3 linked regions of the Caenorhabditis elegans genome follow. The protein of the gene in region 1 interacts with the protein of each later gene in a biochemical or structural test. Each region holds a gene or a part of one and is shown in the gene's direction. Other genes may lie near its edges. The genes, in order: plk-2, sun-1 and syp-4.

Region 1 (6,534 bases):
TTCGCTGCGGGATATTTTTATATTTTGCGCGTCAAATATGTTGCGCAATACGCATTCTCGGAATTTCGCGTTTCCGACTAACAAGAAAAAGAAAAAAAAATTTAGGAGCATGGCCTTCAAAGAGGCAATCTATCAGCTGATGAGGCTCTCCTTCGAGTTTCTACCACTACATCGTTGAATGAGGTTATGAAGAATGCAATTTATATGCAGGAATCTGCACTTGAAGATTTAAATTTTCGAATTCAATTCTACAAAGTTATTGATGAGATCGCGGATCCTACAACGATCCTTGCAAGTAGTACGTCAACAATTCCAGCGTCCAAGTTCACTGATGGTCTGATAAATAAGTAAATAGACTTCTTTGTTATCTTATTTCTATTAACATTAATTCAGGGAACGTTGTCTTATCGTCCACCCCGTCAATCCTCCGCTCTTCCTTCCTCTTACCGAGCTTGTTCCTGCTCCGTGGACCTCACAGGATACTGTAGATAGAGCTGCAGAGATCATGCGATCTGTGAAGCAGGAGCCGGTGAAGCTGAAGAAAGAAGTTTTGGGATTCGTTGTGAATCGTCTACAATTCGCTTTGCTAGCAGAAACCTGGCGTTTGGTAGCCGATGGCGTCATTGGCGTGAATGATGTGGATGCGGTGATGTCAGCTGGTCTAGGGCCGAGATATGCGTTCAATGGGACTTGTGAAACGGTTCATTTGAACGCGTTTGGTGTCAGAGATTATTTTAAAAGATATGCGGCTGGAATTACGGCGGTAAGGAGCTTGAAGCTTGTGCTTTTTATTTTTATTTTATTTATTTTTATTTCCGCTAGCATTTCCAGGTCCTGAAGGATATGGGGCCGATTCCAGATTTCACAGACGAGAAAGTCATTAATAAGCTTGAAGAAGAGCTGGAGCCGAAAATGAGCACTTTGAATATTCGAAAACATCAAGCGGAGAGAGAAGAGAAGCTCGTGGAAATTGCCAAGCTGAAGAAGGACCTGAATCTTTAATTTTTCCTCTTATTGAATTTATTTTGTCAATAAATGCACAAAAATACTCCCTTTTTTTGAGATATTTATGACATATTTCATTGCGCAAAAATGTCGTAACAAGATACAAATCTATGTAACAGCAAAAATACGATAAAAATCACGCGAAGGACACACAGTTGACCACTAAACCGGTAATTACATGCACGGGAATTGATAATTATAGATTTTGTGTTTCAAAATGTTTTGCAAAATTCAATGGAAACATTTTGCAATCATTAAATTAATTAATTATGTAATTCGATTTTCAGAAAAATCAATAATTTTCGAGGCTCGTAAATCGTTCGGACTACCGTACCCAGGCGCGATCGTTGCGAGACCCGCGCGCGGGCAGCTTTGTTTTTTGAAAAATCACACGTGTTTTTCGTTGATTTTCTCCTAATTTTCGTTTTAAAATGGGAAATTCATCGATTTTTCGAGATATTATCAACGAATTCTGGTATAAATCCTTCTTTACCCCGTCAATTTTATAATAAAAAGTTGTTTTTCAACCCTGAAAACGAAAAAAGCACTAAAATGAACATTCTCGCGTATATTAAAATTAGAAAACGGGATAGAAAAGGGTATTTGAACCCTATTTCCGTAATTTTTGTGTCCTTTTCCCGTCAATATATCATGATAATCACTGAAATGGCCCATAAACACAGCTGACAATTTATCATTGTTCTCGTTGTTCTTAGCCTGGCGCTGTCGGCGCATTCCGGGTGAAGGTCGGTGCTAGATTAATTGCCTTTTTCCGTCGTTGTTCATTTCTTTTCGCCGTGTGACATTTTTTTTTTCTCGTGTTCCTCTTACTTTTTCAAATTTCACAGTACATTTCGACTTTTCAGATGCAGCGTGTACAGCCGTCTGCAGCAAGGGTAAAGTCCCAGAAGAAGGAGAAGGCGCCGCCAGATGTTCCAGACGTGATTCTCGATGGAGAACGCAAGACTCGTTATGAAAAAGGCAAATTTTTGGGAAAAGGAGGATTCGCACATTGCTACGAGCTGCGGAACAAGTCTACAGGCGAGCTGTTTGCTGGAAAAGTCGTCCCGAAAGCGCTGCTTATCAAGCAGTATCAGAGAGACAAAATGGCTCAAGAAGTGCAGATTCATAGGAACCTCCAACATCGCAATGTTGTGAAATTATATCACTTCTTCGAGGTTTGTACATTATTAATTAGGTATTAATTAATTAATTATTTTTAAAAAAATTCCAGGATAAATCAAACGTCTACATCACGCTGGAATTGTGTCCAAGAAGATCGTTGATGGAGCTGCATAAGCGACGAAAAGCGGTCACAGAGCCTGAAGCCCGCTACTTTACATATCAAATCGTGGAAGGTGTGCTCTACTTGCACAATTTAAAGATTGTACATCGTGATTTGAAGCTCGGAAATCTCTTCCTCAATGATGAATTGCAAGTGAAAATCGGCGATTTCGGGTTGGCAACAACTTGTGATAATGATGAGAGAAAGAAGACACTCTGTGGAACTCCAAATTACATTGCACGTATGTTTCACGCAGAATCGTTGCAAAAATCGAATATTTATTTTTCAGCTGAAGTTTTGAACAAAATCGGGCACTCCTTTGAAGTCGATTTATGGGCGATTGGTTGCATTCTCTACATTCTTCTTTTCGGCCATCCGCCATTCGAGTCGAAGAGTTTGGAGGTAAAGAAGCAGCAATGAGGCGGCACGGTTTCTCCGATTTTATTGTTTCATGTCCTTTTTTGAAACGTTATCCTATTTTATGCTAAATTGGTTGTAAAAACATGAAATATCCTCACAATCTGATGAGAATTTGATTGGATAACATTTTCATCTGAAAATGATGATAAAAAGAAACTTTATTGAAAAAAAAAACAACTAAAAAATGAGGAAAAAAACGTTGCCGCAGAGTTGCGAAATTACGCCACGCCTATATTTCTTTGCGGCAAAATTCATCATATTTCATATTTCAGGAGACCTATTCGCGCATCAAAAACAACAACTACGTCATCCCAACATCGGCGAGTGCTGCAGCATCTCAACTCATTCGTGTGCTTCTTGACCCAGTGCCGAGTCGCCGTCCAAATGCCAGAGCTGTATGCCGAGATCACTTCTTCAAATCCGGCTTCATGCCTGCTCGTCTTCCAGTTTCGTGCCTCACGATGGTCCCACACTTAAACGATGATGAATACGCAGAGGAAAATGTGTCTCCAAGTGGCACGATCGATCAGCGTGGTCCGCACCAAGCTGGTAGATCCGGACTTTCTGCGATTCCGGCTCATCTCGTGTCGAGAAATTCTGAACGGCAGCAAACTCACCGAATGGAGGCGTACCGACAGCCGACTGACTGCTATTTGTCGAATTTACTCGCTCAAGTCAACGATTTATTGGCTACGCCAACCGCAGATGTAAGGAAATGACATTTTTAATTTAAATAGCAAAAATTTTACTTTCAGATTGATGATGCAGAAGCCGCTCTAGACTCGTATCAATCGCCTGAAGCTCTTCCCGTGTTCTGGATTTCCAAATGGGTTGACTACTCTGATAAGTATGGAATCGGTTATCAGCTTTGCGATAATTCGGTTGGAGTACTTTTCAACGATAATTCAAGAATCATGCTGGACACTGCTGGCACCCAGCTGACATATATTGAGAAAACCGAGAAGGAGCACTATTTCGACATGGAAAGCGCAATACCATCGGGCCTACAGAAGAAGATGACACTTCTCAAGTATTTCCGATCGTACATGAATGATCATTTGTTGCAAGCAGGACAGCAAGTTACTCGGAAAGTAGGAGACGATTTGGCTCGCCTTCCGACGCTTCGTGTCTGGTTCCGAACAAAGTCGGCAATTGTGCTTCATCTCTCCAACGGCACTGTTCAGATAAACTTTTTCAATGTAAGAGTTCTCGTTAATTTTAATATAACAATTATTATTTTTTCAGGATCACATTAAAATGGTGTTGTGTCCACTCATGCAAGCTGTCACCTTCATCGATGAGAACAAGCGCATGTTCACGTACAAATTTTCACACTTGGCTGAAAATGGATGTCCGGAGAAGTTCCTCCATCGAATTCAATACGCCAAGTGTATGATCCAACGACTCGTCGAGGAACACACGAAAGAGGAGACGAAACACAATGCACCGGCGGCCAATGCAGTACGCCTTCCATCGACTTCCAGCAACGTCCGTTTGGAATCTGCAGCAGATATCCAGCCGGCTTATCCATCATCCTCGCGTCGCTAAGAAAATCGATCTGCAACAAATTGAGCTCATTTCCCCTTACCGGTTTTGATATTTCTCTGATCAATACACTTTTATGTCCGTGTTTGTAATCAATTTTATCCAAGCAAATTGCCTTCCTTTTGTATTGCCTTTCTTTTTTATTTTTAACGTTTATTTTTCCCCTTCCCCCTCTCGTATTAAATATTCATTTCGTCTCTCTATGTATGTCACTTCCTAATTTAGAAGAGAACGAACAAACATTCGGGTGTCATCATGCTCATCAGCCGGGGGGTGGTGGGTAATCGCATTTGTCTCCATGTTCCACTTCATCAATTCATTTTGGAGCCCGAATTTATTCACATGTACCCCCCCCCCCCCCCCATTTATTAAGTTCAATTCCAAACTTTTTTTCCAGAAAAATCTACGAGCAAGACGAGGAGAAAACATTATTTTCAAATCGTATCAAGCACTTCTCGTTCTTTACTTCCGTCGTGTATGTGCCTACTTCGTCAAATCCGATTCACCTCGTTTTCGGATTGCCCTTTTCTTTCCCGCTTCACTCTCTCTCTTCAAAAAAGATACGAATCCGTGCTCCTCCGTAGTTTTGTTTACCGCAGTGTCTCCTTCAGAGAGGTCTCGTAACTGTGTAAACTTGTTTTATGATGATTTCCCATATATATATATATATATTCCGCCGCTCACTAGAGATTACGATGCCGTCGTGGGAATTGAAATTTTATCAGTTTTCGAAGGCTCGATTTACTAACGTTAGCTCCTTTAAAGGATTACGGTAGTTTTTAGGATCATTTTTAAAAATACAGTATTCTTTAAAGGCGCATGGTTCTTTTTCTACGGGATTTTTTTCAATTTTTGGAGAAAAACGAGATTTTTAAGAAAAAGGTCGAAAATCGAATTCTTATTTTTCAAATAATGTTTTTTTTCGATTTTGGCGCCAAAAACACTGCCTGGTCTCGACACGACAAATTTTTGTAAAATTTAAAAAGGTGTGCGCCTTTAAAGACTACTGTAGATTCAAACTTCTGTTGTTGCAGAATTTTTATTGGTTTTTCAAAATAATTAAAACAATTTTTCATTAAAATAAACAAAAAAAATGAAAAATCGATGAAAATTCCACTGGCTCACCTTTTTGCTTATAATAAAAAAAAATTTCGTGTCGAACTTTTACTACGGTAGTTTAAAAATTTTCTTCGATCGTGCCAGGACCATTGTTTACTGTGAAAATCGCATTTTTCGACAACTAGGCAATAAAAAAGAAATTTTCAAAATCCCAAAAACTCTAAATTTTTAGTTTTGAAGCGGCGAGCAAAATTTTAGTGTTGAGATTATTAGTGCTTAACAAATTTTAATGCGAATTTATTAAACTAAACCTCGAGAATATCTCCTTCCGCTTCACTTCTTTACTTCCCAATATCTTTCCGGCGAGCTCTTTTCGCTCAGGCGGGCTCACGGAGCATTCGAAATTCCAAAACGGTTATTCCAATTAGAGGAACCTCTTACCCCCGTTTCTTTCCCCGTCTATTCTCAAGTTACTCAGTGGGTTCTCAAGTGTTATGCGACCGCCGAACAGCAGCCGGTTCCACTTTTCTTCCGGAAACGAACCCTCTCACCCACCTGAGCCACACAAAAGGAATTAAAATGATGTATTGGCTCTTTTCTGGGTCCCCCCGTTCCGAGATTGGTGTCAAATTATCTTGTCACTGTGTGTCCGTTGTGTTGACCTCCATCAATTTCCATTTGAAATATGTGGTATTCTTATTATTTTTCGACCACTTTACGTTAGGTTGGCTCTGTAGAAGGTCATAAAGGATAGGAAAATGCCTGCCTGAGTGCCTGGGCCTACATTCGGTGATCTTTCAATTTAAAATGTTTGTTTTCCTCGAAAAATGCCCAAAAATGTCGAAAAAAGCGCTGAGAATGAGCATTTTAAATGAGATATTTTGAAATCACGATGCAATCGAGCTCCAATGGCCTCGTTGACTGCTTGGCGGGAAAGCTTTAAATTTAAACTTTTTCGATTTTTTTCATGTGTTTTTTTGTTATTTTTCGTGATTTTTATTTATTTATTTCAGTTCCGGAATAAAAATCACGACAAAAAAGTAGAAAAAATAATTTAAAACATTCGAAATTACGATTTTGCCGCCAATTCCTAACGAGACCCAACTTTTGGAGGCGGAGCGTTTTTATGTGACCGTGGAGCGCGTTTGCGTCTCCGTAATACAAAATTTCCAGCGGGGCCGCCGAAATACAAACACTCGGCCACTCCCCTCATCGTTTCT
Region 2 (5,667 bases), on another chromosome or scaffold:
CCAATTCCTAATCTCGTCATGATCTCACATCAAAGCTGAAAATTTCATCTAGTCATGTGTTGAGTTTTTGAAATTAATTGATTTCTTGACTCCACCTGCTTTTCAGTTTTCCAAAATAATCAGCGTACTCAATTTGTTGAGTTTATGAAATCTATGTTTCTTCTACTCTACTTTTTGATATTTTTAAATGTAGTATATGGACAAGGAGATGATCCATTTTCTAATGACTTTATTAGAAGAAAGAATTTATCTGATTTAAAAGACACGGTTCTTGGAGAGGTCAGTTGGTCTAAAATCTATTTTCAAATTATAATATTGGTGAAACCTGAATTCAAAACTTTTTTCATCTTTTAAAATTTTGCAAATATCATTTCTAAACTCCAATATGTTTTAGATTGAACTTTGTTAAAATTTTGGTAAATTACCACAACTTCAGCTTTTCAAAAAATAATTCGAAAAATTTCGCTGGTATTCAGTTTTGAACCAGTTGAGCTTGAAAAAACACTAGCTGAAATGAAATAGTTGTCGCAGATTAAATGTTTAACTTGTAAGGTAGCTGGTAACATTCCACCAGAAGATAAGGATGGGCTCTATTATTTTATTATCACCTTGTTTGTTATGTCCACATTTGCATCAACTATTTTGACTGGAGTTTTCTTGGCTCTTTCTGTGATCCTTTGGAGCCATTTCAAAAAAGTAATGAAACACGTTTTACATAACTTTTTCCAAGGAATTTATTGAAAAAATTCAGATGATATTTTTCTGGTTTTTAACTCAACTGACCATTTCTGTTTTCATAATGTCTTCTTTAAACTTTTTAATTAATGTACCAGCGACATTATTTGCTTTGATAACCAAGGAATTCGTTCAATCCGGTAACTTTTTTTGAATCAATTTTGAATCATTTTTTTTGTTCAGCCTCATTCTACTACATGTCCAATGTAATCGATTTCTGTCATAATGCAATACTTTTCTCAAACTTGATAATTGCAATACATCGGATGTTTGTGTTCTTTTTCAAAAAACACACGGATATTGCTTTTGAAAAGTAGGGAATTCTGAAATTTTTGGAATTTTAATCTACTAATCCCAGACCGATAACATACTTTTGGATGGGAATGGTATGGGTATTGTCTGCTTTTGTTGTAGTGTCTATGATTATGAATAACTGCCAATATGAATATGATGAACGAATTTTAATGAAACATTATGTTTTGAGTTGTGAAACTAGTAGTGGAATTAAAAATATTGCTCCACCGACAATTGTACAAACTGTAAGCACAATAATGAAAATATCCAGTCCAATAAACACTTTCAGATTGAAATTTTAATACAATTTATTCTTCCAATATTTATTCTGGGAATATATATTGCAATTATCATTAAAATAATTTTAATGAAAAAAGCAGCACTCAACAAATACGAGCTCACTATTTTGAAACAGGCGGTTTTTATATTTTGCCTATTTCAGGTCCTGTTTGATTTAAGAACGAAAAAATGAAAAAAAAAATTTCCAGATTTCATCGTCGGTTTTCCTATTATGCCAAACTATCAAGTTTGAAATAGCAACTGCATTTTTGATAAAACGGATTATTAATACGGTTCGTTTTTTTTTTAATTTTTCCATAGCAATCTTGAAAAATTATCCGTATTGCAGACTGAAATATGCGCTGGAGCTGCAACGCCGTGCTTCTTCTTTTTCACTTCAAAAGAAATTCGGAAACTCGTTTCTGTGAGAGTTTCTCTCACTACTTCACAAGCCAATTCAAACTCACAGCAGAGAAGGCAAACTTCGAGAGCGATTTAATTTTTATTACTAAAATCAGTTTCTAAAATGTTTTTGCCAATATTAGAATAAATACTCGTGTTTTAATGAGAACAAACTCTTCGCAAAAAATTTCTGTGCCTGCCAAATCATATTTACTGCTACAGTAACTTTCAAAGGTGCAATACGTCAGCGGTGAGGGTCTCGACGCGATCTTGAGAATTGCCGCAATCAGTGCGGGGCTGCTTGAATTCGAGGTTTCGATTTTCTGGTTTTTTTTTTCATTTTTCGAATTCAGTTCGGATATTTTTTGTTTTAAGACAAATATAAAGCATTTAAAAAGTTTATGCTTTGTAAAGTGCAGTTAAACTTCAATTAATTCATAATTATTTTAATTGAAACAACTTTCTCGCTCTTGAAAATATTGCATTGTTTCTTAATTTCCAAATTACAATTCCGCACAGGCTTTTTTCATTCAATTTCTTTCTAAACTTCCAGATCTACTCGGTATGGCGTTGCGACACACCATCTCACCGCAGTTTTCGAATCGCCACAGTCCTCCAGTTACCCGTTCTGTATCTCGAACAGGAGTTCATCAGCCGCTAGACACATCTACTCCAGTTACTCGGCGAGATTCCCAACCTGGAACGATTACAGGCACCATTCAGAGATTTCATGAGTCGGCTGACGATTCTGAAATTGATCTGAACTCTTCGAAATTTATTTACAAGGAGCATTTTAGCTACAAAGAAATCACTTCGATGAAGAAGGAAATGTGGTATGACTGGCTGGAATATCGCATTCGCATGGTTCGGCGTCGTTTTGTTCCAACGTGGGCCCAGTTTAAACGTACTCTTATGGCTGTTGTTCTTTTTGCTATGTTATACAAGTGTGAGTCGGGAAAACGTGTTGTGGGTATCTAAATGAATAATTTCAGATGCTCGTGATTGTTTATTCGATGGAACGCATCATAATTCAGAAGGATCCTACGCGGATAAAGACGCGAATTGGGCGTCCGAAAAACAGAAATTTCATCAGACGGTACAATGAATGAACAGTCAGAATAAATTTTTATATTATTTAGATTTCCAATCTCCGAGCAGAGTTTTCGGCGCACGATAAACAACTCGATTTCAAAACTGACCATTTGGAAAAACTACTGGAAAACGTTTTGGAACACAGCAAAGGATGGAAAGAGTCGGCAATCGAAGAGCTCAAACAGATCAAATTATGGCAAGCAGAAATTAGCGATGCTTTGCAACAAATGAAAAAGGAAATCGATGATGCGGTAATTTTCAAATTTAATATATTTTCCCAATGCTAATTTTTCAGAAAAGCACAAAGATCATCCACAGTACACCAGAAAAGGCTCCAGAGACCGCACCAACTGCATCGCTTCCTCCCTCTAGCCAGCTTCAACCAATGCACATAACACGCCGAGCACTTCTTGGAGTGAATGTTGCCAACAGTCTTATTGGTGCATCAATCGATCATTCTTGTTCATCACGTCCAGTTTCTGCAAAAGATGGATTTTTCTACGATTTCATGTCATACTTCGGAACGTTCCAGGAGGGATATGCTTTGCTTGATCGCGACGTTCTATCCCCAGGAGAAGCGTGGTGCACATACGATAAACGTGCGACCTTGACCGTGAAGCTCGCTAGATTTGTCATACCGAAAAGTGTCTCGTATCAACATGTCAGATGGAGCGGGATTGTTCCAAATCATGCCCCGAAGCTCTACGATGTCGTGGTAAGCTATATAAAAATTGTGTTCAGTAACTAATTATATATTTTCAGGCATGCACGGACTCATGTTGCACCAAATGGCAGCCTCTTGTCGCCAACTGTGAATATAAGGAACGTGATGGAAGTTATGACGAGCAAGAACAATTCTGTTCGGTGCCAACAATTCAAAATCACTCACCGATCAATCACGTGCAATTCCGTTTCCGCGAAAATCATGGAGATATGCCAAAGACATGTGCTTATTTGATTCGTGTTTACGGGGAACCAGTCGATCCACCAAAGGAAACGCAACCAATGACGGATAATGGAACTGAATCAAAGTTGGAATCTGCAATTGTTAACTCTGTATCAGAAACCGCATAGAAACGCCGTATTATTGTTCCTGCCCAACTTGTTTTTATATCATTTTCACGTTCCCCACTGACTATGAATCTCAATATTGCTTCTTTGAAATCGTTTGCAAATGTTTTGTCCCGCTTTACTATCCACGTTACCGTTTGTATTTCATTGCTTTATTCATTTTTTATTAATGTGTCATGTTCTGTTTATTTCTTGAAAGTTCTAATCTAAAGTTTCAAAGTTTTAAATTGTGTTCTGAATTTTAAGCACGAGAGCAGCAGGGAAGTGGTGATTACAAGAGAAAACTTCGCATCTGCTAACTAGGGAATGGTGTTACCCCTGCAATCGCTAGGAGGACAAAACAAACTTTAAATGACAGATGAGGTCTTTGGCTACAAAAATCATTTTTTGGAATCTGCTTAACTCTGCCCCAAAGCTGAAATTTTCGGCCTTAAAAAGTAGTCCTCTTTTTGCTCAAAGTGCCGTTTTCGTTTTTTTGAATTTTTCCTCTAGCATGAAATATGCACAAAAACACGGTTTCTTTCGTTTTTTGGTAACTTCGGAATAAATTTTTTGGTTCCTGGGAATCATAAAAGTAATTTGGAAACTTTTTGGAAGTTTTCTTTTTTTGATAAATTTTCACTTTTTTCCCACCTGATATATGCACATTTTTTTTCTTCAAAAATAATTTTTCAAAATTTTTTCAAAAAGTGTTTGGTTTGAAAGAGCAGCATTAGTTTGGATATTTCTACGATTTTGGAGGATCAAATGTCATTTTTAGGAGAAAACCACTGTTGTTTTCTCTAGAGTTTTTCACGAAAAGGACTTACTTTCAAAGACTTCCAGCTCCGTTGACGGGTAAAATAAAAAAAAGTTGTCAACTGCAAAGTTGTTTTAAAAGTACCAATAAACAAATTGTCAATTGAATTTACTCTGCTAACTTTAGCTTTAACTTACTAACGTAAGTTAAAGCTTCACTTCGATTAGCTATATCTCTTTACCCATAAAATTTAGCAGAGTAGATTCAACTGACAATTTGTTTATTGGTACTTTTAAAACAACTTTGCAGTTGACAACTTTTTTTTATTTTACCCGTCAACGGAGCTGGAAGTCTTTGAAAGTAAGTCCTTTTCGTGAAAAACTCTAGAGAAAACAACAGTGGTTTTCTCCTAAAAATGACATTTGATCCTCCAAAATCGTAGAAATATCCAAACTAATGCTGCTCTTTCAAACCAAACACTTTTTGAAAAAATTTTGAAAAATTATTTTTGAAGAAAAAAATGTGCATATATCAGGTGGGAAAAAAGTGAAAATTTATCAAAAAAAGAAAACTTCCAAAAATTTTCCAAATTACTTTTATGATTCTCAGGAACCAAAAAATTTATTCCGAAGTTACCAAAAAACGAAAGAAACCGTGTTTTTGTGCATATTTCATGCTAGAGGAAAAATTCAAAAAAAAATTAATACCTATTGGGGAACGAACCCGTGACCTTTAGATTAATGAGCACGAGAGTTCACCAATCGGCCATTCGAACGGCGGCTGCAGTTCCAAACTTTTATGTAGCCACTTCTACACACGAAAAACGGCATTTTGAGCAAAAAGAGGACTACTTTTTAAGGCCGAAAAGTTCAGCTTTGGGGAAGAGTTAAGCAGATTCCAAAAAATGATTTTTGTAGCCAAAGACCTCATCTGTCATTTAAAGTTTGTTTTGTCCTCCTAGCGATTGCAGGGGTAACACCATTCCCTAGTAAGATCAAATGGTGGTATTTTTTAGCAATTGTTAAACACTTGTGCCCAACTTTCGTAATTAGTTT
Region 3 (6,046 bases), 4.1 Mb from region 1:
GAAATAATTGCATTCAAACATTTTAGAGATTAACTAGTAAGACATGCAAAATTGATTTCAATTTCTGGAAAATATCACCTTTTTTAATTTGGCAGTTCACCAACAAAACTTAGACTAAATAGAAATTTACAAAAATCTGGAAATTTTTTGTAATGTATTTTTCTGATATTCGATTATTTGACAGTAGCTCTACACCATCGTCAACTAAACTGTACAAATACTGAAATTTTATGAATCAAAAATTCCCCCAAACACCTAGAGACGAAGGTACTTCTTTTTCACAAAATTACGAGATATAACCATTTCTAGCAATCGTGATTTCGTGAATCCGTGAAATTTGGCTGAGACTGAGATCGTGGTGGGACCCACTTTAAAAAATCATATATCCTGTGTCCTTAAAGTGATTTCACGAGACTACTTACGATATTAAATATAACTCTTTTTCCAAAATACAATAAAAGAAAAACTAACCACATGTTCACTTTCTCTTTGATTTTCTCGATTCAACATTTTTCTTGGACGCCTTCTTCGAAATGATTTTATTTTTCTTTTCTGGTCTCACACTATTAGACCTTTTGGAAGGCGATTTCAATGGATTTCTCGTAGATTTTGCTGATTTTTTAGAAAGCGTTTTTGGTGGTTTTATTGTAGAAATCAACTTTTTCGTTGAGATTTTTGCTGATTTCTTATCCCCCGGAGACAATGGATCAGCCAAATAATTTCGTGAAATCTTTTTTGTGGGTTTTTCCTTTGAAGGAGATGTTGGTGGAAGAGAATAATATGATTTTGGATTATCATTTGATGGCTTTACAGCAGTGGAATATGTTGATTTTCCAGTATCCACATAAACTGAACGAACGTCATCAGAATTTCGTTTCTCATGTGGTGGATCCTCCACCTTGTCATCGTATTTCTTGTAATTTCGGTAGCTGTTGCTTTTTTCTACAGGCATTGATCTGGCTGACTTATGTGAATTTTCACGTCTTCTCTTTTCATCCCTATAACTACTTCTTCTGGATTCTCCATCTCTATCTCTATCTCTATCACCTCCTCTTCCAAAATCACGTCTACTTGGAGATTTCTCCATTTTATGAGCCGATACATTATTTTTCTTGCTCCGAGAGCTATCTCTTTTGTCCCTAGAACTGCCACGTTTACTTCCAGAACTGTGTCTCTTCTTCCGTTTGCTCCGTGAGCTTTTCATACTCTTCTGTCTTGATTTTTTCTTTTTAGAACCTTCTTTCCTGTCAGATCCATTATTGTGATCATTTCCATCTTCCTTATAATTTTCCTTTTCATCTTCATTATCACCCTTCTTTTCTCTCTTAGATTTTTTAGATTTCTTCGATTTCATTGATTTCTTTGACTTTGAACCTTTTCGTCGGAACATCTCACGATGCCCGGTAGTACATCCAAGCACCATCGTTGCACTAGTTAAAGTGGCAGTCACCATAAGACATACTGTAAAAGTTGCTTCAAAAGCTGAATCAATGAGTAAACCTACGGTAATTCACATTCTCGGCCATTTGTTCTGGCGATGAACTCATTTTGTGAACAAAATAGAAATAAAGATGTTTTGATCAAATGAAAAGGCTATGCAAACGACACATCCAGTTCGAGACGTTTAATTTTGATAAATTTATATTAGCGTCTTTTCCATCCTTCAGTGAACTTTCAAATCTCCCAAATATCGTAAAAGAACATCGGCTAGGTGTTACATATAGACCCACTTTTCAGGGCCGCGCGCACGCAGCCCCGATACGCAAAAATTAAGCTGTTGGCGAATCTCAACTCGAGACTGCCACACAGGTCAGCCCGCACCAAAAGTGCAATGGGTAGGCCTAACCATGGGGATTCCGCCTTTGTGATCGCGAAATAACCCCCAGCCAGGTAAGTTTATGAGCCTGCGGGTGGAGGGAGTAGTGCGATAGGGTGTCCCGACATTTTGCGGTCTCCGCTACTCACTGTGTTTAGTGTATATGAGGCGGATTTTGACGTGATGGCAATTTGCGTATTTTACATTTAAGTTTACGAGCAATTGCAGGTACAGTAACCTTTGATGTGCAGGCACGAAAAAAATCTCCATTCAAAAGTTTGTTGCTTTTAGGAGAAAACTGAACTTTTCTGTTTCTTTGTTCGGTACGGTAACCTCATTTTTCATCAAAATTTTTTATTTCAAGGCGAAATAATGTCGTTTCCGACGCTACAAGTACGTCCAAATGAGAAAAATCCAAAAGTTCTGCGATGCCATGAGGTATTTTTAATCTACAGACAATCAGTTGTAATCCTCTTCTTTCAGTTTCTTCGCCAATCAAATCAACTTGTGGAGCGAAACATGATCAACACGGAAGGAAGAAAAATGTTGGCAAAGTTGCTGACGAAAATGGTATCCGAAGGTAAGATTCCCGATGGTTCATCGTTTTCCACTATTTTATTATTTAGCCAAAGGAATCTATGCATTAGATGAGAGACGCGCCGAGTTGGCAAAAAGTGGGAAACTCCAGGAGAAGCTGAAATCAGCTTATCAAACATCGCTGACAGTAATGGAAGATCGTCTACACATTGCTGAGCTATCTCGGCAGGTTCAAGAAAAGAAGCTGACAGTTCAGCAGTAAGTTTGTTCACATTAAAAGTAACACAATGTCTATTTTGACTCGAGTAAACCATTCAATTTTTTAAAGGAAATATTACGAATGTGACGACCTACGAAAATCCGTGCAAGAGACGAACACCGAGGCTCGACGAGTCCAGGAAATCAACGAACAGCGGCTTGTGGACACAACCAGGGCCACTGAGGAGCTCATCGTGAAAAGTGCCTCAATTCTGAAAAATCTAGAAAATTCATCCGACGTACATAAGCTTCGTGCAATGGAAGAGGAGAAAAGAATTCTAGAAGAAGTAGTGGAGGGGCTCAGAGATCAGAAGAAGTGTCTTGCCGATGATATCCGTACCAAGAAAGCTACATGTAAGTTATGAAGCATCGAATACACTTAATTTTTTGTAATATATCAAATTTTCAGTGAAAGCCGAATCAAAGAAATCGTTCGAAAAGACGGTAATTGAGTGTGCGAAACACTATAAACTCCATCAATCCTTGATGCCGAAGTTAGACAAATCGAAAAGAAGTTTGGAAACATTGAAGGACGAGGAAGAGAATCGACGAATTTGTGGAAGTCTCAGTCTGGATGAAACAATGCAGTTTGATCGTTCTTTTATTCTCGCGTCGGTATGTAAAACTAAATTTTATAAAGCCTAATTGCCTTTTCAAACTGAAATAATATTTACAGATGGACAAAACAAATAAGCCAGAAAAGGCCGTACAACAGTTAACTTCGAAAAGTTCGGAAGTTTCGATCACTCCACAGATAAGCGAAACCGCGAAATCTTCCTTCTCCAAAGAGCCAATTCCGACACAGCATCCGATGGAAGTTGGCGAAGAACCTGTAATCGAACATTCAGCTGAAGAAAGCGTTCATATTGAACCACCAAATGTCACTGAAATAAGGGAGGTGGTACCACAAATTACCATTCAGCCTACTCGTCAAGACAGCGTCGTTCAACGGGATGCAGAAGAGTTAGACACTTCAGCAGTTCCAAGCCCCCAACCGGAATCAATCCTAGATGAGCCCGAAGAAGAAGAAGAAGAACTTAGCAATCATGAAAATCATGCCGATCAATCGATGGATGTAATGGAAGTAGATCAGGAAGTACCCGAGGAAAGTCCCATGGAAGTCGGTGAGCAAGAAGAAATTGAGCAACCATCTGTATTCAAGGACATTCTAGCCACGGAGCAGGCTGCACTCTCCCAGGAACAAGAACCAGAGATCGTTGAGAAGCAGGCAGACAATGATGTTCAGTTTGTTGATGGTAAGTGTTTTACTTGGCAATAAACATTGAGTTATTCATTTCGCAGATCAACAAGTGGGAGCACAACTAGATGTAGAAGACGAAGAAGAAGTGATGAGCGAAAACGGTTCCAACAAAAGCAATAACTTCTCTTTTAACTTTTTTGGGAATAGCAAGGGTACATCAGCGGGAGAAGGTGGCGGTGAAGGCAGTAAGTTATGAAACACGTGAAATTAAAAAAAACTCCATTTTTATAGACTTCGACTTTAATTTTGACGGAATTGGAGCAGGAGATGATGGTTCGAACAATGGTGGTTCTACTGGAGATCTGGATTTCCTTAACTATGACGGAGAGGATGAAGGAAAGGGTTCGGGAAACACTCAATCCGATCCGTTCGGATTTGCATCAAATGGTAACGCAGCTGGTGGAGGTGGAGATGGATCGTTCAACTTTAACTTTGACGGTGACGGTGAAGGCGGAGCAACTTCTGGAGCGGGCGGAAACAGCACCTCGTTCTTTAACTTTTAGAAAATTATCATGTATTATTCAGCTCTTGTATCATTTGTATCGTTTAATGTCAGAAATTTTAGATTTTATTGGACCAAGAAATTGCCTCTTTTTTTTCTTTTTGAACAGCAAAAATATACATAATATAAAGTATTGATCATCTCATTGCGTTTTATTCTTTTTCACTTTAATGCTTTAAATGTATAGCTATTTAAATAATATTTATTCTGAAACAAACTCAAGTTCGCTTATGTTCGCAAAATTTTTGCTCGTAAAATCAGCAGCATTCGACGCAATGAACGATGCTCCGGTATAACGCTAACGAGCTTTGTTTAGCCATTGGAATTTTATTCGAAAAACGAAAATTGTCCTGTCAAATTTAGTGATTTTCATGTTTTTTTCCTTCAATTCTTTCCCACCAATTTGAATATGAGACATTGCAGCAATCTCCCTTCTGATTATTCAATTTAAATTGTTGGTATACCATAGTTTATGTTTTTCCTGTTAACCTCAATGTTTATTATTAATTAAAAGAGGTTGTTATATGTTCAAAGTTACACTTAAAATTGTGATGAGACTAAGACGAATTGTTCTTTATTTTTCAACCTTTAATGTCGGCGGAAAACTTTTTAAAAGTAGTTTATTGCAGAGACTAACAGTAATAATGGCTGACGACGAGCTTGAGACCTATAGATTGTGGAGAATCCGTAAAACAGTTCTTCAGGTAAACAAAATTTGGTATTTGCCATGATAATATGTTCATATTTAGATGGTTCACGATCGTGGTTATCTCGTAGCTCAAGATGAATTAGATCAACCATTGGAAACATTCAAAGTGCAGTACGGAGATCGTCCCTCTGAAAAAAAGCCGGCTCGCTCAGATCTGACAATTCTCGTGGCTCACAACGACGATCCAGCCGATCAAATGTTTGTTTTCTTCCCAGAGGACGCCAAAATTGGAATCAAAACTATTAAAGCTATCTGCCAGCAAATGCAAGAACAGAATATCTCCCGTGCTATCATTGTCGTACAAACCGGAATGACTCCAAGCGCCAAACAATCCATTGGCGACATGGCCCCAAAGTACATGTTGGAGCACTTTTTAGAGGCTGAGCTCATGGTAAACATCACAGAACATGAGTTGGTACCAGAACATGTCGTCATGACAGCCGAAGAGAAAGCAGAACTACTTGCTAGATAGTAAGTCTTCATATTAAAACATGATTATAAATATGATATTTTCAGCAAACTTAAGGATTCTCAGTTGCCACGTATCCAACAATGTGATCCGGTCGCTCGTTATTTTGGTCTCCGCCGTGGACAAGTTGTCAAAATCATTCGGCCATCGGAAACTGCTGGAAGATATATCACTTATCGTCTTGTGGTCTAAATCTTTTCTAAACCCCCTTGAACGTTGATCTTGGCCCAAAAATTTTCTGATTTTGGGTACCTTTGTTATTTTATTTTTTGTTTTTCCCGTTATTAAACCTATTTCTCTTGTATTTCAATTAAATCTTATTGGAAAATCGGTAGAATCCAATGCGACTTAAATATATACACAAGTTCAATTTTTTTAAGTATCTTAAAAAGTAGAACAGAAAAATTCGTTTAGTATTCCGAAATGAGCACAGATGTGGAAGCGGCGCGACGAAAATATGAGGACCGCCGGCGAAAAATTCAAGAGGAAGAAAT

Evidence for each region.
Region 2: of the proteins of plk-2 (region 1) and sun-1, one has a biochemical effect on the other in vitro, tested with the Caenorhabditis elegans proteins (one study listed by BioGRID).
Region 3: of the proteins of plk-2 (region 1) and syp-4, one has a biochemical effect on the other in vitro, tested with the Caenorhabditis elegans proteins (one study listed by BioGRID).

The regions. Positions count from the first base shown.
Region 1 is NC_003279.8:2,753,542-2,760,075, reverse strand, and holds plk-2 (Serine/threonine-protein kinase plk-2), read left to right. Parts: upstream 1-1,871; coding exon 1,872-2,183; intron 2,184-2,239; coding exon 2,240-2,531; intron 2,532-2,579; coding exon 2,580-2,692; intron 2,693-2,982; coding exon 2,983-3,417; intron 3,418-3,465; coding exon 3,466-3,909; intron 3,910-3,955; coding exon 3,956-4,258; 3' UTR 4,259-4,451; downstream 4,452-6,534. Other genes in the region: Y71F9B.9 (3-hydroxyacyl-CoA dehydrogenase), read left to right, coding at 106-347, 394-763, 832-1,002. UniProt on the Caenorhabditis elegans protein: Serine/threonine-protein kinase which plays a role, during oogenesis, in chromosome pairing and synapsis, by facilitating the recruitment and attachment of meiotic chromosomes to the nuclear envelope during prophase.
Region 2 is NC_003283.11:13,190,135-13,195,801, reverse strand, and holds sun-1 (Sun domain-containing protein 1), read left to right. Parts: upstream 1-2,263; 5' UTR 2,264-2,274; coding exon 2,275-2,656; intron 2,657-2,702; coding exon 2,703-2,806; intron 2,807-2,849; coding exon 2,850-3,053; intron 3,054-3,097; coding exon 3,098-3,517; intron 3,518-3,564; coding exon 3,565-3,876; 3' UTR 3,877-4,100; downstream 4,101-5,667. Other genes in the region: F57B1.1 (G-protein coupled receptors family 1 profile domain-containing protein), read left to right, coding at 154-279, 553-696, 752-875, 919-1,048, 1,094-1,274, 1,319-1,471, 1,518-1,601, 1,658-1,807. UniProt on the Caenorhabditis elegans protein: Involved in centrosome attachment to the nucleus. Required for zyg-12 localization to the nuclear envelope. Together with pot-1, it is required to anchor telomeres to the nuclear envelope in embryos.
Region 3 is NC_003279.8:6,845,406-6,851,451, forward strand, and holds syp-4 (Synaptonemal complex protein 4), read left to right. Parts: upstream 1-2,105; 5' UTR 2,106-2,188; coding exon 2,189-2,254; intron 2,255-2,299; coding exon 2,300-2,396; intron 2,397-2,442; coding exon 2,443-2,611; intron 2,612-2,681; coding exon 2,682-2,965; intron 2,966-3,020; coding exon 3,021-3,226; intron 3,227-3,287; coding exon 3,288-3,867; intron 3,868-3,913; coding exon 3,914-4,057; intron 4,058-4,103; coding exon 4,104-4,375; 3' UTR 4,376-4,518; downstream 4,519-6,046. Other genes in the region: H27M09.5 (uncharacterized protein), read right to left, coding at 479-1,461, 1,505-1,547; rpb-5 (DNA-directed RNA polymerases I, II, and III subunit RPABC1), read left to right, coding at 5,019-5,078, 5,124-5,554, 5,600-5,744; sacy-1 (RNA helicase), read left to right, coding at 5,976-6,046.